Linked DNA regions of Nothobranchius furzeri. The protein of the gene in region 2 purifies or fractionates together with the protein of the main gene of each other region. This does not show direct contact. Links are inferred from orthologs where the notes say so. Each region holds a gene or a part of one and is shown on either strand. Other genes may lie near its edges. The genes, in order: uri1, polr3d, polr1c, gpn3, polr2l, polr3h and polr3glb.

Evidence for each region.
Region 1: the proteins of polr3d (region 2) and uri1 purify together in Homo sapiens (affinity purification with mass spectrometry; 3 studies listed by BioGRID and IntAct, with this or other methods). This does not show direct contact. The link is inferred for Nothobranchius furzeri from reciprocal best matches to the Homo sapiens genes POLR3D and URI1.
Region 3: the proteins of polr3d (region 2) and polr1c purify together in Homo sapiens (affinity purification with mass spectrometry; 6 studies listed by BioGRID and IntAct, counting the BioPlex papers as one, with this or other methods). This does not show direct contact. The link is inferred for Nothobranchius furzeri from reciprocal best matches to the Homo sapiens genes POLR3D and POLR1C.
Region 4: the proteins of polr3d (region 2) and gpn3 purify together in Homo sapiens (affinity purification with mass spectrometry; 3 studies listed by BioGRID and IntAct, counting the BioPlex papers as one, with this or other methods). This does not show direct contact. The link is inferred for Nothobranchius furzeri from reciprocal best matches to the Homo sapiens genes POLR3D and GPN3.
Region 5: the proteins of polr3d (region 2) and polr2l purify together in Homo sapiens (affinity purification with mass spectrometry; 3 studies listed by BioGRID and IntAct, counting the BioPlex papers as one, with this or other methods). This does not show direct contact. The link is inferred for Nothobranchius furzeri from reciprocal best matches to the Homo sapiens genes POLR3D and POLR2L.
Region 6: the proteins of polr3d (region 2) and polr3h purify together in Homo sapiens (affinity purification with mass spectrometry; 6 studies listed by BioGRID and IntAct, counting the BioPlex papers as one, with this or other methods). This does not show direct contact. The link is inferred for Nothobranchius furzeri from reciprocal best matches to the Homo sapiens genes POLR3D and POLR3H.
Region 7: the proteins of polr3d (region 2) and polr3glb purify together in Homo sapiens (co-immunoprecipitation; 4 studies listed by BioGRID and IntAct, counting the BioPlex papers as one, with this or other methods). This does not show direct contact. The link is inferred for Nothobranchius furzeri from reciprocal best matches to the Homo sapiens genes POLR3D and POLR3GL.

The regions. Positions count from the first base shown.
Region 1 is NC_091744.1:78,624,188-78,628,155, forward strand, and holds the start of uri1 (unconventional prefoldin RPB5 interactor 1), read right to left. Parts: upstream 2,801-3,968; 5' UTR 2,517-2,800; coding exon 2,445-2,516; intron 1,746-2,444; coding exon 1,711-1,745; intron 1-1,710. UniProt on the Homo sapiens protein: Involved in gene transcription regulation. Acts as a transcriptional repressor in concert with the corepressor UXT to regulate androgen receptor (AR) transcription.
Region 2 is NC_091757.1:39,754,434-39,758,675, forward strand, and holds the start of polr3d (DNA-directed RNA polymerase III subunit RPC4), read left to right. Parts: upstream 1-1,442; 5' UTR 1,443-1,598; intron 1,599-2,572; 5' UTR 2,573-2,578; coding exon 2,579-2,737; intron 2,738-4,237; coding exon 4,238-4,242. UniProt on the Homo sapiens protein: DNA-dependent RNA polymerase catalyzes the transcription of DNA into RNA using the four ribonucleoside triphosphates as substrates.
Region 3 is NC_091752.1:59,366,707-59,370,206, reverse strand, and holds part of polr1c (DNA-directed RNA polymerases I and III subunit RPAC1), read right to left. Parts: intron 1,586-3,500; coding exon 1,436-1,585; coding exon of another isoform or gene 1,433-1,435; intron 1,313-1,432; coding exon 1,196-1,312; intron 1-1,195. UniProt on the Homo sapiens protein: DNA-dependent RNA polymerase catalyzes the transcription of DNA into RNA using the four ribonucleoside triphosphates as substrates.
Region 4 is NC_091746.1:47,858,027-47,862,037, reverse strand, and holds the start of gpn3 (GPN-loop GTPase 3), read right to left. Parts: upstream 2,801-4,011; 5' UTR 2,581-2,800; coding exon 2,533-2,580; intron 2,400-2,532; coding exon 2,291-2,399; intron 63-2,290; coding exon 1-62. UniProt on the Homo sapiens protein: Small GTPase required for proper localization of RNA polymerase II (RNAPII). May act at an RNAP assembly step prior to nuclear import.
Region 5 is NC_091749.1:62,790,861-62,793,886, reverse strand, and holds polr2l (DNA-directed RNA polymerases I, II, and III subunit RPABC5), read right to left. Parts: upstream 1,638-3,026; 5' UTR 1,499-1,637; intron 1,117-1,498; 5' UTR 1,107-1,116; coding exon 1,012-1,106; intron 743-1,011; coding exon 634-742; 3' UTR 501-633; downstream 1-500. UniProt on the Homo sapiens protein: DNA-dependent RNA polymerase catalyzes the transcription of DNA into RNA using the four ribonucleoside triphosphates as substrates.
Region 6 is NC_091752.1:65,981,226-65,984,725, reverse strand, and holds part of polr3h (DNA-directed RNA polymerase III subunit RPC8), read right to left. Parts: intron 1,308-3,500; coding exon 1,244-1,307; intron 1,134-1,243; coding exon 899-1,133; intron 1-898.
Region 7 is NC_091745.1:58,816,537-58,820,646, reverse strand, and holds the start of polr3glb (DNA-directed RNA polymerase III subunit RPC7-like), read right to left. Parts: upstream 2,801-4,110; 5' UTR 2,611-2,800; coding exon 2,503-2,610; intron 2,364-2,502; coding exon 2,234-2,363; intron 2,151-2,233; coding exon 2,082-2,150; intron 1,998-2,081; coding exon 1,932-1,997; intron 1,859-1,931; coding exon 1,773-1,858; intron 1,632-1,772; coding exon 1,518-1,631; intron 1-1,517. UniProt on the Homo sapiens protein: DNA-dependent RNA polymerase catalyzes the transcription of DNA into RNA using the four ribonucleoside triphosphates as substrates. Specific peripheric component of RNA polymerase III which synthesizes small RNAs, such as 5S rRNA and tRNAs.

The DNA.
Region 1 (3,968 bases), on a different chromosome or scaffold from region 2:
TTGAGTAAAGAGCTCTACTGTCTTGACGTGCACACACACACACACACACACACACACACACACACACACACACACACACACACACACACACACTCTTCTGGTCCTTTCATTAAGTCCAGGATTCAATCACTTCTCAGCATCCTTCTCAAGTTATTTTGGAGAGCTGTTGTCCCCAGTAGAAGCACAAATGCATGTTTGTCTTTCTTTGTTCGTGAGGGCTTCCATTGACTTCCATTCATTTTTGTGACTGCATTACGCCTAACCCATACCTGCACAGTAATGATAACCAATGCAGATCTATTCCTAACTAACTTTAACTAAAACCTGATTCACACCAAACCTTAAAACCAACTGGTGGACTTTAAGGAGTACTGGGGACTGGTGTTCGGACAGAACACCATACATATCAGAGCAGCATGAATGCAGTTTATGCACGATCATCTAAACCTCCTCTGCATTCTGAGCCAGCTCAGTGGCCTAGTGGTAGAATGTCCACCCTGAGACTGGGAGATCAGGGTTCGATTCCTGGTCGGGTCATACCAAAGACTTAGAAAAAAATGGGACCCAATGCCTCCCTGCTTGACACTCAGCATTAAGGAGTTGGATTGGGGGTTTCAACCACCAAATGGTTCCCGAGCGCAGCTGTGTCTGCAGCTCACTGCTCCCCCAGGGGATGGGTCACATCAGTGTGTGTGACAACTAATGGGACTTTAACTTGACTTTAACTTTAGCAGCCGTCAGTTCAGCATACAGACAGCAAAGTATGAGAAAAAGTGAGTCATTTATATTTTTAATGATAACTGAGTGGCTGCACATTCACTGGTGTTTTGCAGTTTATTTCCAGTTGTGTTCATGTTTTACCATCCACACCAACAGACTGATAAATGTGTATCACAATTTTTTATTTTTATTTTACCACCTTTTATCTCTAAAAAAAATAAAAATAAAATTAGACAATAAAGTAGGGATGCACAGATATGATACTGGTATCGATACCAGTACCAGTATCGTATCGGTAAAAGTTAACTGATACCAGGAACCGATACCAATGCAGTTGCTTGAAAATGGCTTCCCTGTAACTTGTCATTTCTGTTCACCTAATATTTTAGTTTTGTGATGATTTCCATTCATATATTTTACTTTTTATCTACCTCACAGTCGTCTCCTGTTGAAAGCAGAGAAGAAAATACAATCTGTATTCCAAATCATTGCATTTTTTCGTGTGGTAGAAGTATCGGTATTGGTAATCGGCATCGGCGAGTACTCAGATCCAAGTATCGGTATCGTATCGGTTTGGAAAAAAGTGGTATCATTGCATTCCTACAATAGAGCTTTAAAAAATATACAAGTCTGGGTGTCATACGTTTTTTAAAAGTGTATGGTGATCTGATGGGTAAACTGGCCCAGCAAGATGTCATTCAGTTGTTAAATTCTAAGTGTTTAGTGATCTCATGAGTAAACTGGGCCATCAGGGTGTCATATGGTTGTTCTAAACAAAGTGTATGGTGATCTAATTGGTAGAACAAAAAACAAGTTAAAAAATCACAAATCTATTAAGTGTCAAAGTTAAGGGAAAAAACACCTTTTCAGATTACATTTTCAAAAAATACTTTAATCACAGTGTAATATAGTTCAGGATTACATTAGAATAAAGTAGAAAACCATTCCAAACCTTTTCTAGAGACATTCTTGTGAGTTTTGGATGCTTACCAGTGCTGAATCCGACTTTCACAGTCTTTCACCACCTGTTTTAGGACAGATCATTTTAGTTTGTTTACAAATTCAGGTCAACACAATCTGATGTCAGGATAATACATATATTTATTCCTACTGGGAATTTTCAATTCATAAACGCCCTCAATTGTAATAAATAGGTTAATAAAGTTGTGTTGGCAAAGGGAAATTAAATGTATATAATTATTAGTATTGTATTATTAAATAATACAAATGCTCCCCCCCCCCCCCCCCCAAAAAAAACTGTCAAAAACAAAATAAAAGGCTAAGCTTTTGCTTTCTCTTCAACAAAACAGCTGGCTCACGTCTGAACTTTAGTTTTAGTCAAGCTCTAATAACTTCCGGTGACCTTTTGAGTTGTTATAGGGGGCATAGGACTTCCCGATTTGCATTAGACAATAATCTAAATGAATCAAAGCAAAATCTTAAAACTTCCACACAAGTGAAACTTGTGTGCAAGTAAACAAAATTAGCCAAACACACCTCCAGGCTTAAATTTGAACGTAAGAAACTTCTAGAAGGAAGCTAAAGGTAACCTAAAAACACAGATGAGACATGTGACGTAACCAGTGTCGTGCAGAGGCGTCTGTGCGCAGAAGAAATAAGCTCTTCAGCTGACCCACTCGTGGTTTAAACACTCCCAAATGATCCAACCGCGTGGCTCGGCTGGCCTCGCGGGTTCTGCCCACCACCTAAACACCAAAACTTACCTTCTCGTGTTCCTGTCGGAGCCTCGCAACTCCACCGAGACGCTCCAAATTCATTTTCCCACCTTCAGTCATCGTCAATTCACATGCAAAACGGTCAATCTGTGCGTTTTGTGACCCACAAAAACAAAGCTCAGGGGTTGTTGTGAGTCCTAAAGAAGTGTTTATGAATCCAGCAGACGCTATTCCTGAGACCCGTTCTGCACGTATTCATCAAAGGGGCAGTGATGGTTGTCCACACTCTCGGAGGTGATTTCATCTCACACACTCACTTCAGAATTTCTGCATTATTCCCAAATAAATCCACGGTTTCGGTATCCCAAAGATTAGCAGATTCTCCTCGTCACTTTCGCTGCGCCATGCACTCTACAGCAACACGGAAGAAGTTTCAGGCAGACTTCCGGTTAATATTTCCAAAATAAAACACTTCAATTCAAGTTTATTTAAATAGCGACAAGAGTCGTCTCAAGGCACTTCACATCATAAACATTCCAATTCATTAAGCCAATCAGAAAAAAGTTTCCTATATAAGGAACCCAGCAAATTGCATCGTACATCATTCCTCATACTAAGCAAGCATGCAGCGACAGTGGAGAAGAAAACAGTGGAAAGACACCTCCAGAGGATCCTGGCTCAGTATCAGCAGCCATCTGCCACGACTCACTCAAGAAGCGGTCTGTTGGAATAATATAATATAATATAATATAATATAATATAATATAATATAATATAATATAATATAATATAATATAATTCCATGGAGTTTGTTCTTATACAGATATATTTAATTCATTTTTTATATGATGGGCTACATTTAAACCACAAAACATTCAATAAGCTCATCGTCTCACTATAAAACTAGAAAAGTTTAAACCAGCTAGTGTTTTTATGGGAAAATGGGAACCTCACCCTTCCTACTTGCAGTTTTACCAGCTTTACAGCTTTGAAAAAATAAAACTACTCACTAAACTTTGAGATGAATGTCTCACACCAGAAAATTCTTCAACACACACACACACACACACACACACACACACACACACACACACACACACACACACACACACACACACACACACACACACATATATATAATTTTATTTTATTAAAATACCTTGTTATTGTATTTATGTTTTTATTTCATTTTTATTAAGTGTACACATTTAAAATGGAAATGTACAATCAGAATACACATTCATTCATGAATGTGTCTGGTTATAAAAGCAGCATCTACAATAACAGCAAAAATGTATGGTGTGCTTATGGGATGTAAAAAGATTGTGAATACCTCAGGTGTTCTTTTATTGAGGCATACAGGTATAGCTTAAGAAAAAAGAGGTCTGAGGCCATCAGGAAAATGAAGATGGTAGAAATACTTTATTGTTTCATGGCTAGTCAAATAAAAACAGGTTTCAGCCCCATTGACCTTGGTCAGGGAAGGGATTTGCATGCAGATGTATTTTAATCTTATTTACAATTTTAGAAATGAAACTGACCCCAACTGTCCTAGTCCTCTAATCATGAGAA
Region 2 (4,242 bases):
TTGGATGTGCATGCCAAAATGCATTGTCCAAAACTTTGTTGTAAAGAACAGAAAAAAGCTCACCTCTCCAGGGCCATCAGGGCCTGAACATCTGCCAAGGGGTAGATGCCATGGTGCCTGGTCTCCACACTTCCCCCTGTGGTCAGGCCCTGAAGAGCAGCAACAGCAACAAAAGGTCCTGCACCATTTTGGTGAGGCCGCGCTGCTGCTGAAGGATTATTTCCTGTTTCACCAGGACTTCATGCAGGAGAGCTGAAAAGCATTTCAGACACAAAGTGCTTTGATTAGCTTATCACAAATAAAGTACTTTGATTAATCAATGAAAAGCGTTCTTCTTCTCTTCTTCTGTCTCTTCTCCTGGAATGTAAACATACTGAACCAAGCGTCCGACCTTGGTGATGTTACTGTGTGAAGGGGCAGCTGTTAAGGCAGACCATTATAAGATTCATAACGGTACAACCTATATAAGTCTCTAGACACCCATTTTTCTCAACAAAAAAACTGCTAAAAATATATTCAGCCTTGATTGTACACAGCAAGATTTATTATTTACAGTGATATAATTAATAATGCTCGATAACGATCAATACTAGATGTCATTTTATTGTGTTCAATGTTATATTACGTTTATTTATTACAATTATTAATAGCTTTTGTTTCATTTTTGTTCTCTGATGATTTATTTGGAAATGACTGATTTTTGGTTTGTGTTCTCAAAGCTACATAAACAAATTATATCTTGTAAAACCTCCCATAATTCAGTCAGATTCAAAACATTTCATTTCAAGGTATTTAGTAGATGAAGAGTTTTTTTTTCTTGTATGGTGCCTTCAAAAAGGTGCTTCACATTAATAATCTCACAGTAATTTATGTTACATTAACAGACTAAATAACAATGCTTCAACCTGCCCAGCATCAACAACAATCTATACATTTTTACTGATTGATATATATAATTATCATTATGTGGAAAAACAATGTGTTTATCACCAAAAATAGCCTTTTTATATTCCTTCGTAATAGTACTGATAGAGAAGAGAGCCTTAAGTGATTCCCACAGACCCCCTTAAATGAGGCTGCTAACTAACATGCTACATTCACCTTCGTGAGGTTCATTGGGTTGTGAGGAGTCACCTGCTGACATATCACCAGCTGCTGATTCTATAAGGACAAGGACAGCAACCCATTTACCATAATTAGATGAAACATAGTTCCTCTCATTGTGGATATCAAAGCTAGCTAACAGGTTGAATTTAACCAATCACTAACTAAACCCACCTTCCTTTGAGAATAACTGTGCGACATACTGACGCTCTCTCTTCTGCCTGTCCTTTCTCCTTTCATTCTTTCCTTTACTGTGACCCAGACGCGTTGCCCCGCCCGCGTTGCAGCCTGCGGCCATGCGCCTCATTCTGCGCATGCGCGTTCCGAACGGAACAACAACGCAGAGGTGTCATGGCGTCGTGCAGCACAGTGGCTCAGAAACAGAAACACAACTAGCTGGCTCAGAAACAGAAACACAACTAGCTAAGGTTCATTTATTATGACTCGCAGACCGTGAATAAACATAGAATAAAGACCCCGGAAGAAGAAATCAGGTAAGGATCTGGAAAAAGCTTAAATATCACTTTTTCTTCTCTAATGATGAAGGTTAGCGAACTAGTGCTGTATCATTATGTCCACGTGCTGGCGGTTTGTTCATTTCTAGCTGGAATTAAGTATTTTTTTCGTAGTGGGACGGTAGATTAAGAGAAACGAAAACCAGTTTAACCGTAGGAAAGTTTTCAGTGGTAACCAGTAGTCTGACTGCAAGTGAAGAAAGTTAAGTCATTTGGAGACCCAGCTGAAATGACTTCACTGCACTAGTTAACTCCTTCATTAGTAGTGTCCAAATATTTAGCTAAACAGGCCTAAAACGACAAGTTGAAAGTACTTGTGTGCCACTTTTATAAATGCAAACAATTTTTGTTCCCAGCTAAACAATAAAGTTAAATCAATCCTTCACTATTCGTTAGCATGTCTTCATATCACATCAGCTTCCAATGATGGGGTGCTGAAAGACAAAAGCCACAGGCCATGGCTAAAAAAACATCTATATAAGCAACGTGATTAAAACAGCGTCAATAAGATCAACAGTAAAACCAACAGAGGAATGTAAACAGATGCATTTAATTAGCATAATCCCCATTGTAATCCAGAAAAGAGAGAACTGGTTTTCAGTCTGAACCCAATGTTTAATATTATAATATAAAGTACACAATATTTTAGGGCTGCACATAGTAATTAGATATTTTTACGATAAGGATGTGTAGATCTCAGATGCAAAGCATCAACAGTCCAGTGTGGATGTAGATGTGCATCCAGATGTAATACCTGCATTCATATGTTGCTTTTAAATGCTACAAAATCCATCAGAATGTCGTTAGAAATAGGTGCCAATGCAGACAAAAATATCTGTGATTTTTAGATATTTTCTACAAAAAGAGTCTTTGTTGTGTCCACGATGACTACAGATACCAGTAGAAATAATTCCAAGTGAAAAAGGTTGATTTGTATCTCCTACTTTATTTAGTTCAAAATGGCTGACTCAAGTGACACCAGTAATCAGCGAATGGCGACTCCTGGAGGCAGCAGTAACGTTGGACTGCTGATGGGCCGCCGACCACCATCGGGAATCTCTCCAGGTCGCCTCCCTTCCATGAGGTCAAGAGACCTCACACTGGGGGGAGTAAAAAAGGTACTGCACCAGGTCTTTTATTAAAGTATAGTTATTTGTAGTGGTTTATAGTAGGAAGTCGAAAGTCAGGGGGAAACAATACACTGGTGCACCATTACCAGGAACTGAAGTTACCCACATCACAGCTGCGCTTCAGACAGCAGGTTTTGGAGTCTTAGTTCCTGATACTTGGACATTTATCCTCAGATTGGATAACAGTGATTCCTGGGGTTGTGCTCCTGCAGTCATTGGTGTATAAAATGAGCAGAAGTGGAGAGATGACTGAACCTTGTGGGGAACCAGTGGAGAGTGACCTGACAGTACTGTGATGGCCGTTAACCCTGACCCTCTGCTCCCTCCTCGTGAGAAAGGAGAGGACCCAGAGGATGAGATGGGAGTTAACATTCAGGTTCAGCAGTTTACATCCCATAAGATGTGGCTGGACTGTGTTGAATGCACTAGAGAAATCCACAAAGACCAGGTTGATATGTGACTTTGGCTGTTCCAGGTGGGTGAGGGTCTCATGCAGCATAGTTAGTAGAGCATCATCCACCCCTCTGTGTGGTTGGTATGCAAACTGCATTGGGTCCAAACATGCACCCACATCAACCAGCAGCTGGGCCATTACGAGCCTCTCAAAGGTCTTCACAATCAGTGATGTCAGAGCTACAGGTCCAAAGTCGCTGTTGATGCCTGGGTTGTTCTGCTTTGCCACGGGGCAGATGATAGAGGACTTCCAGATGGAGGGGATGGAGTGCTCAGCTAGCGAGCAGTTAAACAGGAAGCAGAGAACTCCCGCCAGCTGACTGCAGATGACCAGAGATCCTGCCTGGTCCTGAGGCCTTGTTGGGGTTGATCCTCTTTAGCGTGCTCTCCATGTCCACAGGCAGGAGCTGCAGGTTCTCAACGGCTTGGGACATAGGGGCTAGCTCCATGAATGTGAAGCGACAGTGTGACGTAGATCTGTCAGGCTTTTCACACCCTAGAGTTTTACTGTCTATTTTCTATCGTGTAGAAGACTTTTTCATGATCAGCCTGCATGAAAAATTCAGTGACCCATAATAATCAGAAATAATGATGCTCTTTAAAATTCTTTATTTCTAATATAATGTGAACAAAGAAAGCTTACCTGATACTCGTAGGACGATTAATACGCTGTGGATCAGTTATGATCCCAACACTGGCTTAGTGTTTACTCAAGCTGTTTACCAAAAGGGAGCTGCTTCCATCTTTGACATTTGCTCACACACCGGGTTGTTTACTCTATGGGTTTGAACTGTTTATTAAAAACAAACAACTTGCATCAAGGGGAAAATGTTCATTCAATTTAGTATTTATGTCTTTTATTTATTTATTTATATCACTGAGATTAATCTATACGAAAATGACAAGACAAAAAACCAATCATTTGTTAAAAACTCGTGGCTTCTAGGGACAAGTGATGACTAAAGATGCAACAGAAGCTGATTTTATTGTACACTGTCTAAAACCTAACACGTTTTTGTTTTCTTCCACTTTTAGAAAAC
Region 3 (3,500 bases), on a different chromosome or scaffold from region 2:
ACCCCATAGATTTTCTATGGGGTTAAGGTCAGGCGAGTTTGCTGGCCAATCAAGGACAGGGATACCATGGTCCTTGAACCAGGTGCTGGTGGTTTTGGCACTGTGTGCAGGTGCCAAGTCCTGTTGAAAGGTGAAGTCTGCATCCCCATAAAGTTGGTCAGCAGCAGGAAGCATGAAGTGCTCTAAAACTTCCTGGTAGACGGCTGCATTGACCCTGGACCTCAGGAAACAGAGTGGGCCAACACCGGCAGATGACATGGCACCCCACACCATCACTGACGGTGGAAACTTTACACTGGACCTCATGCAACGTGGATTCTGTGCTTCTCCGCTCTTCCTCCAGACTCTGGGTCCTTGATTTCCAAAGGAAATGCAGAACTTGCTTTCATCAGAAAACATAACTTTGGACCACTCAGCATCAGTCCAGTCCTTTTTGTCCTTGGCCCAGACGAGACGCTTCTTGCGCTGTTTCATGTTCAAGAGTGGCTTGACACACGGAATGCGACACCTGAATCCCATGTCTTTCATGAGTCTCCTCGTGGTGGTTCTTGAAGCGCTGACTCCAGCTGCAGTCCACTCTTTGTGGATCTCCCCCACATTTTTGAATGGGTTTGTCGTCACAATTCTCTGCAGGGTGCGGTTATCCCTAGAGCTTGTACACTTTTTTCTACCACATTTTTTCCGTCCCTTCGCCTGTCTGTTAATGTGCTTGGACACAGAGCTCTGCGAACAGCCAGCTTCTTTAGCAATCACCTTTTGTGTCTTGCCCTTCTTGTGCAAGGTGTCAATGATTGTCTTTTGGACAGCTGTTAAGTCAGAAGTCTTCCCCATGATTGTGGTGCCTTCAAAACAAGACTGAGGGACCTTTTAAAGGCCTTTGCAGGTGTTTTGAGTAAATCAGCTGATTAGAGTGGCAGCAGGTGTCTTCTATATTCAGCCTTTTCAGAATATTCTAATTTTTTGAGATACCAAATTTGGAGTTTTCATTAGTTGTCACTTATGAATATCAAATTTAAATGTAATGAACATTGGAAATACATTGGTCTGTGTGCATTGCATGAATATAATGTACAAGTTTCACGTTTTGAATGGAATTACTGAAATATTTTCAACCTTTTGATGATATTCTAATTTACTGGCCAGCACCTGTATGTCTGTGCTTAGATGTAATTTCTAGGAGTTTATCCTAACTCACATATGAAATGATCTCGAACCCTTCCCAGCTTCACCAAATTCTTTAGATCCACATGTCGGAGAACTTCTCGGCTGCATGTATCTAGTCGACTGTTCACCACTTTGGCCACTTTTTTACCTGAGGAAACAAAGGATAGTGATGTAGTATTTACAGGTAAACACTGGTGTGGGGAATTCATGCGGCATGACAAAGCCAATTCTTTAAAAACACTTGACTCTAGCTCTATTGGGTAATTCTTACCGCGAACATCTTCCAGGTCTATAACACCTCGTGAGAAGCAGTGTTTCAGGAGCTCCGCCTTTTCTCCCTCCACCACTTCCAATAATGTGATCTCTGGCAGGAGGCGGTAACTTGCTGTTGCCACTGGAGAGAACTTAGCATGGTCCCTGCCTGAGCACAAAATGAAGCACATACAGGTTTGATACAGAAATCTACCTCTAAAATATGTTTTACTGCCAACACAACATCAAGCAGCAGCCTTTCTTAGGAGGAGGGGTGGATACGCAGCACTGACCCACGTATGATGACGGCCCATTCTTCACCCAGGGCAAACAATATCTCACTTTAGTCAGAAGTCACTCTTGACGAAAACATCACACACATCATGAAAATTCCAAACCTATTTCCAAAGGACTTGAGAGGACTCATTACATGCGTCTAATTATCTGTCTTGTTCATCACCAGTGGTGCCAGAGCTTCTAGAGAAGCTTACTAAAACAATTGGGTTCCCTGCCCTTCAGGCTTGGAACCCTAACAAGACCTCAAAGCAGTTATGAATGGGCTCCAAAGCATCCAGCGTGCGTCTCCTACCCGGCCCCGCCCCTGAGTCCGCCATTTCTAACCTGGGTCCTCCCTGCCTGCATGCTCTCGCACCTTTGTTCTTTCAGCTAATAATGTCATTTCAACCTGCATTATTAAATAAACATGCAGAAAAAAAAGTTTTTTTTTCTTCAGAGATCTCCATTTGTCGACAAAATAAGGAAAAAAGTTGTATTAATGGGTACACCATCGCCACTTAACTGGCAAAGCTATCAAAAAATTCCCAAAGCCAAGAGGATCCAATTTTGGTCATGTCTACTCTTGTTCTTCATCTAAAAACTTTAACGTTGCATAGATTGCAAAGTCTTAGTGTAAAGAGAACAATAAACAATAATAAATTATAAAAACATTTTGACATTTGTGTGCACTCTACAGGTTATTAACAAAAGTTAATATACATGGCTTAAATATCATTCTTTGAGAATCCAAAATCTCATTTTTTCTTGAAAAATGGTGGCAATATAACGATTGCTAGCTTGCACAAAGAATTAGGCATTGTGTCAATTGCACAATTACCAACATTTTTGCAGTTTTCTTCATTACAATAACACTGGTTTGTCCATAAATCGTTTATATCACTTTTAAAGTTAATTCTGCAAAAATTGATGGAATAGACCCTTTAACATTTTGTTTCAATTCAGTCTTTTTCAGGGTTATCGCTGACAAAGCTTGAAAATTATATTAGTAAACTCATTTTAACGAATGGCAACAGACTCCTGGATCCCTGTGGTGTTATATAATGGGTGGAAGATGTAGCTGCGTGCGTGGCCAGATACCCAGTGGCTCAATATATCAATCATTCAACAAAATTTTATTTGTACAGCACCTTCCACTGCCTTTATGGAAGCCCAAGGTTCTGAACATGACATAAAAATAATAAAAGAGCAGAGAACAATAAAACATGCATGCAAAAATTACTAAAATGATAAAACAGAGACGATAAAAGACTAATTACATTATTTCATGCTATTTCAGCTATCAACTTTATTTTTTCCCTAAGTGTTTTTCTCCCCAGAAGAAGCTACAATGGTGTTCTGCTTTGCCGTGGTGGCCTCATGGAGGGGGCCATCGGCTTTAACACTGTTGCTAACCACTTTAACATATTTCCCTCTCCTGAAAACTTTTTAATTTCTTTGACATGGAATGTGCTACTACTAGTTTACCTGCTGACTCAATTATAGATTCACTCAGATAAAGACAATAAAGTTTATCCCTTACTAAATAGAATATTTACTAAGAAATCACAATGTAGTCATCAGTCCTCGTCAGGTGACGTATCAGGTGCTGAAGCACGTTGCATGATGGGATACCTAGGTGCATAAGCAAAGGAAGCACTGGTCGCTTTGTGTGTTGTGAGCTTATTAAACTGCAGAAAATGGTAGTCGTGTTGTGTGAAGGGCTGCCATGCATAAAAAGGCATAAAGTTAAATGTGGGCTGGGATCGCGTTATCCAGATATTTTCTGTTTTTGGCCATTTATTTCAACG
Region 4 (4,011 bases), on a different chromosome or scaffold from region 2:
AGGGCCAAATTTCAGAGAGTCATCCTCCATCACATCATCGACCTGGATGAGCTCACGGATGTCTGACAAAGCAGGACTGCAATCAAATATAGTGTGCTTCACGGAGAAAGTAATTAATTTAAAAAATCCTCCTGATGTTACTTGTACTTGTGAGTTACCGTAAATCCTCTAATACAGGCCCGGGCCTGTATTTGACTCAAGCTCATCAAGCTCCAGGCCTTTATTGGAAGGAGGGCCAGTATTAGAGGCAGGCCTCTATTTCTATTTGAGCAAAATGAACTATGGTTCGCTGGAGTTTTTGACAATTAAAAGTGCGCCCACATTTTCAAAGTTAAACACATTTCTTTTAACAACGGTAGTTCCTGCTTCAGCCCTCTCCCCCCTCCCCCTGCTTCAGCCCTCTCCCCCCTCCCCCTGCGCAGCGGCCGCAAACTCACTGATGCGCCTGCAGCCTCTCGGAGTTCCTGCTGCTCTAAACATTAAAATAATTATTTCATTTTCTGTTCCTCACTTCTGATGACCTTCAATGGTGTCTGTTTGTTGCAACAGCAGGTACAAAAACTAACTTGTTTTTATTTGACTATTTTTCTGTCCTGTCTGTTTATTATCTTCCTGCATCTCCTCTCAATCCTAAAGAAAAACTGCTGCCTGGGTTCATATTCACCTCATGAGTTACCTTTGAACTGCAGTTCTAAAAGATCTACCGACCGCAAAAACAGCGGAGCGCTTGCTGTTTGGCGGCTGTATCAGTGATCAGTGCGTCGGAGGACAAGGTGATGCGCGCAGCGTCCCGCTCCACAGCGTGCAGCGAAACACATCAGGCGCAAATAAAAGACAGAAAAAATTAAAGGAAATGAACTGACATGAACGATCGCGTGTTAAATTAGTTTTTGAGGTGGCGACACCTGATTGTTACTGTGGCCGTGCTCAGGAGGCAGATCTACCGACCGCGAAAACAGCTGAGCGCTCCCTGCTGTGATCTGTGCGTCGGAGGACAAGTTGATGCGCCCCGCTCCACAGCAGCGATACACATCAGGCGCAAATAAAAGACAGAAAACATTAAAAATTAACCGACATGAACGATCGCGTGTCAGTACCTACGGTCTGGCACTTGAGTTTTACCCCCAAAAAGAGAATGTGATCATACGATAATTCAATAGGGAGCGTGGTTTCACAGACGCGGAAGTGAGAGCGTCGGTGAAACGCCGGCTGATCTAGGAAACCCCCGAGCGTTCGAGCGTCAACGAAGTGACACGGAAATGCCGGGCTTTCCAGAAGTAAGTAAGATAACTTACTATGAGCTGATAGTTCGTTGGATTGATCGGTAGGTTGGAAACTCTGATCGTGAATCTGAAGAAACGATGACTGAGTGGTGAGCTGGAAAGGCAACTTCCGTTTATAGCCGCGGTTTGTGACGTAGGTGCGACGTGAAGGGAATCCCCGCGAGGGGCATGCTGGGAGTCCCTACTTCGCGGATTTTCACCTATCGCGGCCAGGTCTGGAACGCATCTACCGCGATAAACGAGGGATTACTGTAGTTCATACACACCCTACTGCTGCTCTCCAGAGTGTTCTGCAGCATAATCAGCACGTTCTCTTTGAACTTGATAGTGTAATGACCTGGCTGGGGTTGTAAGCCAGGTGCATTCTGGGTATTGTGTTATATGTGTTTCCTATCGTTCTGCTAGTTCCTATGTGCTGATTTGCGTGTTGTGTGAGTGTTATGTAAGCCACAGGGAAGGTGATGTGTGTTCTGTGGAGTGGGTTGAATTAGCATGGTTAACTGACACCATGACTCTGTGTGGTAGGAGCGTGATAGAGGATCGTGTCTGTAGCGTTACAAAGCGTTGAAGAAAAGGCCTAATAAAGGTCTGCGTGAACCTCTACTGCCTCCTGCTGGTTGATTTGGGAACTATAACCCTGCCGCTGGGACGCTCGTACTTGCTTGTTACCACATGCCATCCGGCCACAATAAGAGACCGGCCATTATTTACCTCCGCTGACTCTGACACCGGCCAAAATTGGAGACCCGGCCTTTAATTGAATACCGGCCTGTATTAGAGGATTTACGGTAATCCTATCAGAAGTAATTGTTTTACTAAACTGAATTTAAATAAAAAGACCAATCCACAAAATCACAATCACAAAGTGTTTCCATATTTTTTATCCGAAACTACAAGTGATCACCATGTAACAATGAAACCTAACCTAATCTATTTGAATTTCTTCATTTTACACAATTTCTGTTTTCCTATTAAGCCTTTCTGATGTGATCTTTAAAAGTCTTTACCTGCCATCACAGGGTAGTCAAAATGCTCAGCAGCAGGATCCAGATTTACCACCTGAACAGATCGGTTTAAGGCCTCTGCATGCTGGACCAAGGTGGAGCAGTAAGTACTCTGAAATATCAGACCAAAAAAACGAAGACAGAAGTTATAGTTTGTGTAGCACTTGCCTTAGCTCAACATGTTAGCAACGCATTATAACATAAGAAAGCATTTATGACGTCCAGCGTGATCAGCGATGACTTACCTTACCGCTGCCCGCCGGGCCCATCACTAGTTGGGCATAACGAGGCATTTTATCCCACCTTTACCACACCTGTGACCTGGTTAATTTAGTTCACGTAGCTTCTCACAGTTAGCTAACTGTTGACCTGAGAGTTTTTCTTCTGCTTTTCCGTAACATCCGGTTGCCTGCCTCACTACTGCCCCCTCTTGATTAGCTGGTGAATTATCACATTGAACCGCGAACAAAAATTCAAATGTATTTATTTATCTTATAACGTGACCTAAACATCTAACAATTTCTTCAATGTGTAAAGAATAATTATGATTTAGCTCATTTGATTAGCCTTAACAGCAGATTTTTGTTGTATACATTTTAGCTAACAGTAGATGGCGGTAGAGGGTATTGACAGAAAAAAGAAGGAAGTAGAAGGTAGCTAGAGAACACGAGGAAGACACAAACTACTACATCACGATGAAGTGTTGCAGCAACAACACAGTCAGAAATACTTGACCTGGTCACTTGTCTTCATCATTTAACTTTATTATAAAAATGGCTAAATGTTTAGACAAAGTGAGTTGATTGACAAGTTAAGCTAGTAGAAGAACTTTCGCGTGAAAGCGAAAATCTTGTTGGTAGGTATCCAATATGGTTTTGTATACAGTAAAGCATCGAGTGTTTATTTTATTGGGTTGCTTTGTGTGTTATGGTTTGGCTTTAAAGTAGCTGCGCATGCTAAATCAATTTTGTTAGTTAGTCAGAAATATTAGCTTCGAGAGTTCGATTAATGATTCAAACATTTGCCATTATCTATCTGGGAGTTTTCGAAAGTGAACTTTACAGACTCGCTGTTACTGCAGCGGTGTTCACGATAACACCGCCCTTCACTATCAAACGAAACATATTTTTACGTTTTTCAGCGTTCACTCTTTGTTTTATTGCAGAAAGGGAAGTCGAAGACAGCGAGAGGTGTTTAGTAGCTTAGATCAAGTCATTATTAGCTTCAAACCCACCGCAGTGCATCACGGGTTATTTGATCATTTTTCTTCTTAGACGTTTTTAATTAAACAGCAATGTCTAGCTAATCTTCGTGACCAAGGAGCTTTCGTAAGTAAGTATGTGTTATGTAATTTTTAAAGTTAATAAATTATTTACATGAATGGAAAAGGTCACAACTTTAAAAGCAGCTGATTCAAGTTATGTTTTAAATCTAGCTTTAAAGAGCAAGTCACTCCCTACCAGATTCTTACTCAACTCCCACATCCTGTTTGAAAAAATGCAACAAATGCTGTTGCCTAGCAGACCAAGAGGGTGGAGCCACTAACAAATGCACACACAGGCTCACAACAAGTTTGTGTCATCATATGGTACCAGCTAATGTTTTAGGGTACGTATTAGCCAATAGCGATGGCAGATTTAAATTCAAATGCAGTGCAGTTTTTACCCGACAACGTCAGAACACTGACAGTTTTAGGCAGAAATTTTAAATTTTAACTAAAGTGC
Region 5 (3,026 bases), on a different chromosome or scaffold from region 2:
ACTTTGTTCTGGTTTTGTTCCCTTTTCTCCCCAGACTGAAGAATCCTGCCGGGGAAAGATGAGCATTTTCTTGCACCAAGGTTGATAAATGTCAAAACTCTTTGAAGCTGAGACATTGGATGTTTGAAAGTATGAAACCTACTTTTTATCAGTTATATTCACCATGTCTGATTTGTTTTAAGAAAAAGTTGTGTAGATTCATTCTTGTATTATAGAATTTCAACATGCATGTAGTGAACACCTGTTAATAACTTGTTTTCATTCTTTTTTTTGTATAAATTCTACAAATAAAAAAAAATCCTCCAGTGTTTTGTTATAACTAACTACACAAAGCTGTAAAATTATGTCACATTGACAGGAAATAGACATTTAATCATTCATCAATTTTTCCAATCTCATGAAATGAACTATGCGATTAAAACCATTAATTTCCAAAGCTAAGATCTGAAGAGCTAGTCGTTGCCAACCACATAAAATGTAGACGCATGGACGAAAGAAAGCAAGGTTATTCATTTTATTTTAAAAAATCCAGTAATTGAAAAATGTTTCCATAAATTCTTCTCTGTGGTCGTAATTTAAGGTTACATAGTACACACATTCACCCTGATAATGGTGCTACAAAGTCCACAACATTCATTTTTCCAACGGAGCATAATTCAGCAATTTCTCAATAAGATCCACATGAGAAAGAAGCATCCTTCGACAGCAGTACCTCTTCAAGCCAAGAGCGTCAAGAGCATCACTAGGGAGGGAGATGGCAAAAATCAGTCCTGATATGTTACATAAACACGTTTTAATCACTGCTGAAAACCATAAGGAAAGGTGAAAGGCATTGTGGTTTAAAAACAAATCTAAACCCAATCTTCTTTTTAAATGTTATTTAGCTTGCCTGCATTGTGACCAAATGTTGAAATGTTCTACCTTTGTAGAAAAGCTACTCAAACACGTGCCAGAACAATTTCGGACGTAAAAAGATCATGAAACGTGAAGCTAGACGTGGTTGTTTCTCACCCCTCTGTGTATTCCGCTTGCAACAGACCGAGGTACGCTTCCCATTTGTTCCCCACAATCTTCCCACAAGTGAAGCACCTCACAGGGATTATCATCGTTAAATACCTGCAACAAAAGTCAACCCGGTTAATGTTTGAAAACAATGTAAAACAATCACAGTTGAGTCGTTTAACTTAAATTACATTTACGTTTCCGCATACCACCGCAGTAAGACCACCATGTGAGCATGTTTTGCTAACGTTAATGCAGCAAAACCTAGCACTGCAACGATTAAAGCAAACACGTATTTAGTTTTTTTTTTCAGATGGATTAATCAATAGTCCAAAAACGAATTACTTAAAAAAGACGGTTGAAATCAAATCTTATGGTTAGTGCTGTATTCCGCTACGTAACTAGCCCACCAGCTAGCGTTAGCTGCTGTTGAAATTATTCCGCTAAACGAACTTACACACGTCATTAGTTTATCACGTTTTACCATATGTTTCACCTTTTGAGGCTGTAGATCAGATGAATGTACTATTTTCTTGGTAAAAGTAACTCCAGCACGATAATGATGGCGTTCTCTCACTCCTTATGTCGTTAAAACAACTTCCGGGTAAAATCCGCCAAAATAAAAGCGGAATAAGAGGTGAGCGTTTCCTGTGATTTGCAAAATTGACCCCCCCCCCCCCCCAAAAAAAAAAAAACGAAAATGGGGAAACTGACACGGAAAACGTGTGAGCGTCTTCGTCTATTTGGTTTTAATAAATGTGGTGCAAAAGTGAAATAACAATTCATTAGAATCACAATATTGCTACTGAATAATGACCACAGCTCACTTCATAAACGAGCGTATAAAAATGGCAGTACTCCCCATCAAACTTAGCTAACATGTCAAGTCACTCACCTCACAATGTATTTTTCCTTTTACAAAACAAACAACTTTGAAGCAAAAGTATTAATATCCATGTAACCACAGATAAAGGAGTTTAAAAACTCTAACATTTTCCTTGATATAACTAATAAATGCAATTGCAATTCAATATACCATCTTGACAGAATGTTAAGGAAAAGAGCTAAATTAGTTGATTAAAACTAATGTTTTTGAAGGTGGTACCATGCAAAAATAAAATCTTCATCCAATGCAGATAGTTACACAAATTAATATTAACATGAATCCACAAAAGAAATGCTCACTATAGGACTGGTTCACTGCCTTTAATAAGATTGAATTTCAGATTTGTCATATTTTACATTTAAATGATTGGACTCATAGAGGAGGGTGCATAAAGAAAATATTTAAAATATAAAACATACATATTATTTCCACCATAGTCATCTTTACAGTCAGCATGATAAATGTCATTATCATTACCATCAGTAACATTATACAGTAATACATCATCTATGTAATTTCATTTGCTACAGCACATATGCTAAATGAGGAATCCTACCTGAATTATTGCATTTATACGCTGTTGAAATTATGAAAATAGGAGTTTTCATATTCTTTTGTTTTTTAAGAGTACACTGTATTGTACAATGTAAGGTGAAATTTATTTTTGTGTTGACTTACTACTTTTTGAACATGTCAGAGGAGCTGTCTAGTGATGGTGATATGCTCTTATGAGTTTTTTAGGGGGTATAAAATATGGTGAAGCTATACATTCTGGTTGTCAAAACTACCTTTCTACCAAACAGAGACAACCGGATGAGTTTTACAGTTGCAAGCTGAAAGGCTAGTGAGCCACTGTACAGGTGTGTTTGTGCAGTAACAAATTCTTTTCCCCCTTTCAGTGAAGTATGAGTACTACTTTTATGCTATTATAAATGCTTTCATTACATATTTTTGGTGGGTGACTTTGAAAACACACAGAGTGGCATAAAAATTGACTCAATTCTAGTGGCTGACTGGCTGTGGGCTTTCAAACCCATATAGAGGTTAGAATAAACACGCAAACCAACTTCTTCTTTTGTCCCAGAACGTGTCATATTTCAGTGTTTAATAATGTTTTGGTTTATTTTAAACCCAATGA
Region 6 (3,500 bases), on a different chromosome or scaffold from region 2:
TTTGAAAATTTAAGACCTCTGGAAAATGTATTTAAGTATTATTTGTAATTTTTAAGGCCTTAAATTTGGAAAAGCTAATTTAAGACCTGCGGATACCCTGGACGAGTATGGCAGAAAGCCCCGTTGACTTACATCGGTAGCGGCGAGTGCGTCATGTTGTTTGATATCCAATAGCATGCAGAGACAGTCTGGAAGAAAACCGTAGACCCAGGCCCACTACTGAGAGCCGTCAACGGGCCGTGTCCAGACTATATATTCACCTATAGAGGATGGCTTCCCAGGCTAGGGTTTCTCATAACCAGATGTTTAACCTATTCACTGCCAATGACGAGTAAATTCGTCATTTGCATGTTTTTACTGTGTGGGCATCGGACGAGCCCCCACACCGTGAGAACAAACACCTCAGCTCTAAAGCGGATCTTCATCCGTATACGTCACACGTCACGTGATCAGGAAGCAGAACATCCATGTGTTAGATCGTTTTGGGCCGCTGCTGTAAAAAAAAAAGTGAGGCGCGAACCGGAAAAGCTTCTGCCGATCACAATTCAACAACAGATAATGAAAGAACGGATAACGCTCGAAACGCGCGGATTCTTCCTGATGTAAGAGGTGAGTCTCCGCTTTGTTTTGGTTGTTTTGGCGTCAACGTCATCCTAGCGCGCAACGTTCTGTGGCTTAAAAAAAACTGTAAAAACGGTGAGAAACGCTGGCAGCGAATGAGTTAAAGCTCCCATTTACTTAAAAGACAAATAAAATATCAAAATCTAATTCAGTCAAAATACTGAAAACATGAACTGAGCACCAGAAAGAGTTTACAAATACCCTGAAATGGTGACTGCTCCCACAGTTTAATCATCTTTACGAGAGCTGATTTTTAATTTGTCTGTATGATTCTTACAATCAGAGTGTACGGTGCCTCCTTCTTCCCCTCGCTGGCCTCTGCTGGCGGCGCCGTTGCCTGCCCCGCTTGTGCCGGCGCGTCAGACGCAGCTACAGCAGGGCCTGTTGGTGACGTGTCCACGAAGACTTGATCCGCCACCCGGAAGCGGATCTCCTCCCCTTGGTCCATGTAGAGGTCGTGCCCTCCCTCATCCGTCTCGTACTCCCAGACCCAGACCTGCTCCGCTTCATCACTGGAGTTACGGCTAAGGAAGGCTCAACCAACCCCAGATCCATAAGACTCCAGTCACACACTCAGCAAATGCAGTAAAAACAAAACCACTGTGCTTCTAACTCTGGATACAACTTTGCAGGCTGCTGGAGAGACTCAGGAGGGATGAGAATATCATCAAAGAAGCCCATGGTCACTGTGAAGCAGCAGAGTGAGAAGCTCCTGTTGAAATCTGGTACACAGCTGTTAAAGCGTTTACTGTTAAAGGATATTTTGTCATTCTTGCATCAGACATGAAAGAAACAGCGTACCTGGAAAGCAGAGGATAACAGTAAAATAACATATAATTGCAGCAATGACTAAAATTCCATATATATAAGGGATGTGTATTGGTGAAATTTTGGCAATACGACAAGTATCACGATATAGGGGAGACAATACAACATATCACGATACATTGCCATACAATACGATATCAGCAATTTTTTTAGACAGAATTTTTTGTAGGAATATTGAATAAACAGTCCAAACTAGGGCTGGGCGATGCGACCTAAAATCAGTGTCACAATATATTGAGAATTTCACCTCGATAACGATAAATTGGCGATAACTACAGGTATGCGCAGAAACAAAAGTTGTCCACTAGATGGGGCTGTCACACGTATTACTTGAGTCACATTTTTACGTGACTCAAGGTGGTACAGCTTCTTAAAGGGATGTGAACGTTACCAACCTACACATCTTTTCATTTCTTTATTATCGAATTTATTGACACGGGAAAAATGATCACGATAAGAGTCAGAAATTTTGATAATGATAAATTTTCGATTTATTGCCCAGCCCTAGTCCAAACTGATACTTAACATTTTTAATGCGAGGTATCTGAACCATAACAGAGGGATTTATATTTCAGTGGTGGAAACAAAACACATTGCACACTGCTGCCAACTAGCGGTCTGCGTTTAAATTGCACCAAAAGAAAAGAAAATACACAAATATTTGCATGTAAATTCTTCCAAAAATTTGATACATGGATTTTGAATATTAATATAAAATCACAGGATAAAATATCACAAAATATTACCATATCGATATTTTCGATATACATCTTTTGAATATCAATACAATATCACGATATATTGCCATATCGATATTTTCTTACATCCTTTAATGTGTGTATATATATATATATATATATATATGTATATATATATATATATATATATATATATATATATATATATATATATACACTATATATATATATATTTTTTTAATTTGTATGATAAATGATAAAATCATCTAGGTGTAGAAATTCCATCATGGCTATTTTTCAAGTGCTTCCATAATTTTCTTTTTTATATTCCTGCAAATGTGTTCATATTAAACACACACATCTATGTTAAAGTATCACAATATTAAAGGTGGAATATTTTGCAAAACTCACATTTTGCATCTTTTTTTTTTTTTTTTTGCTGCCATGTGGGTCTCTACTAGGGATGTCCCGATCCGATCACATGATCGGAAATCGGCCCCGATCACGTGGTTTCAGACTGATCAGGACTCGGGCTTTACTTCCCGATCCAAGCCCCGATCCGGAGTTGGATACTGGCTTCAAATTACAGGAGAGCAACTTGGTTCTCCTTAATGGTTGTCAGGCTCACCTGATGCCCTTAACTCACACACCCAGAAGGAGCACAAAAGAGATCCAGTTTGTACCTATATTATATTATTTACATGGACTCAGAGTAGCGGGGATTCTTTTGGGGCAGAGATGCAGAGCGGCAGGCAGACCGCTGATTATTTATGGACTCCAGGTGTGTTCTGCACACGGCCACAGTAACATTTTCTAAGTTTCTAAAGGGCCTCACCAAAAAATATATAATTAACACACAGTCGTTTGTGTCCGTTCATTTTCTCTCTGGTAAGTTCTGTCTGTATTTGAGCATGATGTGTGGACGCGCTCGCGCCGCAGCGCTCGTCACTGGCGCAGCCGTGCAGCGCGGCGCTCACTCCGCTTTTTTTGTGGTCAATAGATCAATTTGATCTGCTAGTTAAAAAGTTACTTGTGAGGTGAAAAAGAAGGAAGCAGGGAGGAGTTTGTCTGGAGGACTGGATCCACCCCTCACATGCAAGAAATAGTTGCTGCTGAAGGAGCAGCGGCTCTCACCCTGGATTCTCATGTCAGTTCTCTTGTTCGCTCTTTCTTCGTCCATCTCAGGAACATTGCTAAGCTGAGTCCCATTCTGTCCCGCTCTGAACTTGAGACAGTTCTCCACACCTTCATCTCCTCACGCTTAGACTACTGTAACTCTCTTTTCACGTGTCTGAGCAGAACCTCCCTGAACCGTCTACAGGTGGTTCAGAATGCCTGTGCTCGGCTTCTGAC
Region 7 (4,110 bases), on a different chromosome or scaffold from region 2:
CTGTTCAGCCAGAACGGGTCAGAATTCTGTACCCAATAGACCCTTTTACTACCTACGTCATCAAAAGTTGCGAGCGCAGCCTGGCAACGAGAGTGAAGGCTTCCTCATTCACACTCGATACTAAAGCAGTGTTTTAAACCCTTTGTTTTGAAGTTCTGAGCACATAAAATGTCGGGTTGTTGCGTGTATGGATGCCAGAATCGCTTCTCTCCAAGTAGTGGACTGAAACTTTACAGAATTCCGAAGGGAGCACATCCATTTCAACAAAATCGGAGGTGTCTGTGGCTGCAGGCCATCAAAAGGGTTGATGAAAACTGGACTGAAAACACGATCCGAAATGCTCGAGTTTGTAGCGCCCATTTTATATCAGGTAAGGTAATTATGTACTAAGATTACACCAGAAAGCTGGTTAACGTGTGTTCTATTAAATAAAGTAAGTTGCGCTTGCTGGTTTGCTTTTAAGCAGTCTATTTATTTTTTAATTAACATTTCATTCTAATTCATCTGTATTTTCCCACTGCATATTAGTATAAACTGTATTTCTCTAAAATTAACACGATTGTACTCTGAGCACGCTAAAAAAAAAGAAACCTAAGCTATACTCACCCTGCCATGCAGGTACAGTTGGCTGTGAAGACGTAGTTCTCTCGTTTGTTTACTATGACCCAAGCCTCGTACATAGCAGTCTTGTGTCCTTGTCTTTGGCTAGGAAGGACTTCTGCCTTCAAGACGCAAAACTCAGAGTCTATGTCGTGATATTTTACTTTCTGTACGTGGCCACAGACAACATAGTTGTATGCATCTAACGATTTGTATGCCCGTAGCTTCTCACGTGTGTACTTACTGGGCCTCTCCACTAAAAACGTATATATATCGGGCCACTGGATATCTGGCCACGCACCTACATCTTCCACCCATTCCGTAATGCCACAGGGATCCGGGAGTCTGTTGCCATTCGTTAAAGTGAGTTTAATAATATAACATTCAAGATTTGCCGGTGATAACCCCGCAGCGTAGCTTGATAAAGCCTGACACAACGCCATTCTCTGTTGCCAAGCTGCGCGAGCATTCTCGCTGACGTCATATTGTTTACAAACAGTAAAAGGGTCTATAAACGCTCCTCTTTGGTATGTTCTTGCTGTGTTGCTTTTCTAACTGCATTGTTGGTTCTTCTTGAAAACACGGAAAAGGTTTATTTTTACCTTGCTGCCAGCAAACCGGTTAAAGTTACCCTCGCGGTCTATCACTGGCAAATCAAAAGTGAGACGGATGACACAACCGCCCCCGTACTTGCTTGTTACCACATTCCAGAGAGAGAGAGAGAGAGAGAGAGAGAGAGAGAGAGAGAGAGAGAGAGAGAGAGAGAGCGAGAGAGAGAGAGAGAGAGAGAGAGAGAGAGAGAGAGAGAGAGAGAGGATTTTGACAGCACTTTTTTCTGACTATTCCAACTGACGGATTTCCGTCACCCCGACGGAGAACTTTAATCCCTGCCACACCCACACCGGGTGTCACCTCACCTCTTCAAACTCTTCCTCATCGTAATCCTCCTCAGCCTCAGCACCCTCATCCTGCTTCTTCTCCATCTCTCCTTCCCCCTCAGAGCTCTCCTGCTCCTCCTTCTTCTCCAGCGTCTGCAAGTATGACACACACAGGTCACGTCATCGGTATGGTAGGACAGCAGGTGGCTGAGACACCTGCTCCACAGGTGAGTCTGACAGATCTGGAATACGTTATTTTACCTGTGACCTGTTTCCCAGACCAGTCCAACTCACCTCCAGCTTCAGAAGGATCTCCTCTCTGACCTTCTTCTTCTTCTTCTGTATCTGCTGACCGCTGTCCCGGCAGCTGAGCAGCGCACCTTAACAAAAACACATTTTACCAGCAGCTAACACAACCTGGCTCAAATTACTGAGAGTAATCAGATTACTGACCATCACCGGGTGCTTTCCTGACGTGGACTCGCAGTTCTCTGGGGAATCTCTTCCAATCTGAAACGACTAATCAGCATTACTCCTGATCAACACATCACATTGGGTTCTCTTGGTTACTGTGGTTACAGATATTAGCATTCATGGTCTCACCTACAACCCAGTCCTTCAGCCTGTCAGTCTGTTCACTGATGTGATATTTATCTGAGTATCGCTCCACATCTGACAGGAAGTGCAGAGGAGAACTTCACAATAAGAGAGCAGTTACATCTGATAAGCAGTTAAGTGGTGATTGTTGGTCTCACCTCTTTGTGCCACTGCTGGTTGGATAAAGCATGGAAGACTCCTCATGGCTCCCCTGCAGTCCTGTTTCAGAGCCAACAAATACTCTGCCTCTTCTCCACCTGTTAGAGGCAGGGGCTTCTGCTCCATCACCTGGAAAACATTAAACTGCAAATCCCAGAATGCACTTGATGCCAAAAAAAATAAATACACAATGTCTGCTCAAAATAAAGCCACACGTGACCTAAACTCCAGGTGTGACTGGGTTCAGGTGTAGTGGGGTGGAGCTTACTGGAAACACAGGTGTAGGCTGGTGAATAGTTGGAGGAAGAGATTCTCTGATGCCGACTGCATCCACACTGAAACTCATCATCCTGTGGCCACGCCCACGACCTGCCATCTCTATTGCCTCTCTAAAGCAGACCAGAACCAGAACATGAACGGACCCTCTGTGGCGGATGTGGGTAGGGATTTTTATGACCTGTAGTGGTGGTGAGTGGTCATAGGCTGGCCCTCGCTTGTGAGAGGAGGGACCCTTTGGTCTTGACCCGGTTAACGCTGGGCCACAGTTGTCTGCGGGGTGGGTTGTTTTTTATTAGGGGAGCACCCGGATGGTAACTGTGACTGTGGAGAGTTGGAGAGTGTGAGATATGTTCTTCAGCATTGCTGGCGATATGCAGGAGAGAGTGGTCCTCTCTTGGGGGCCCTTGGTGTGTCTGTTTTCAGTTTGAGGACTTTGTTGGTGATGACGGACTGTCGTAGGGGTGTAAGGGCAGACTGTGAGTGGGAATAGGTGCTGACCCATCAGCATCTAGCCTGCCAGATCCAATGAAGAAGACCCTCTGCAGCCCGGTCAGACGTGGTGCTGAATCTGGATTCTGACAGAACAAGAAGGCTGAATGTTAGCAGAGATGTGGAGACAAGTGACCAAATGTGATGAAGGTTGTGGAGCATCATGGAGAGGATGCACGTCTGAGATCGAAGAGATGTTAGCTGATGTGTGACAGGAAGTCTGGAGCAGGAGGAGGATGCTAAACTGAAACCTACTAAAGAAAGTCCTTGTCCAGACTTCCGTCCGTTGGATTCTCTTCCTACTTGAAGCCAGCGTCTTTCATTCCGGACCACCAATAGTTCTGGTAGAGCTTGGTGTCCAGCTTGTTCCTGTTGTCTGGGTCAACATGGCCCCCTATCGGAGAAAACCAAAGATTCATAACAGCTTTTCTATATAATTGATCCTTTAACCTCTCCAGAATCCCCAGGTCCAATAATACCATACAAACAGAACCAATACAGAACGCCAGGGTTCTGGTCATTGGGCTGGTCCTGAACTAGACTGGACCTTCAATAGGTTCTGCTCCAGATTATCTCACCCGGCTGAGAATACACGCCCCCACGCAGTTCATCAAAACGACGAGTAGCTCTCGGTGACCCGGTTGGCTTTGTCTGACACGGTCCAGCGACGGCTCTTCCGGGATCGTTCCGTTTTAGGGGTCACTAAGCGTCGTCTCGCCTCTAAAGCGACAATTCATCTCGTTAGAACCTGAGGAACATTCACGTCTCCACGGTTCCGTCTTGTTTTGGACCAGACCGAACTGTCTGTTTACATCCGGCTTCGCGCCGTCTAAGTTCTTCTTCTTCTTTTGGTGTTTTATTGGTGGTTGGCAAACAATGAATGGTGCATTACCGCCACCAACTAGTGTGGAGTGTGGTCTGGAACAGCGCTCACATAACCAAACCAAACAGGGGGTTAAGACTCAAAGTCTCCCAAACACCCTTATCTCTTTCAAAAACCGAAATAAAATCTGATAACAGTCACTTTTTGAATTCTGTCTCAATAAATCAACAAGATCCAGTTTCACTTTCATCTGACTAAGAGTGTGAACTTAGTGACAGTGTAATA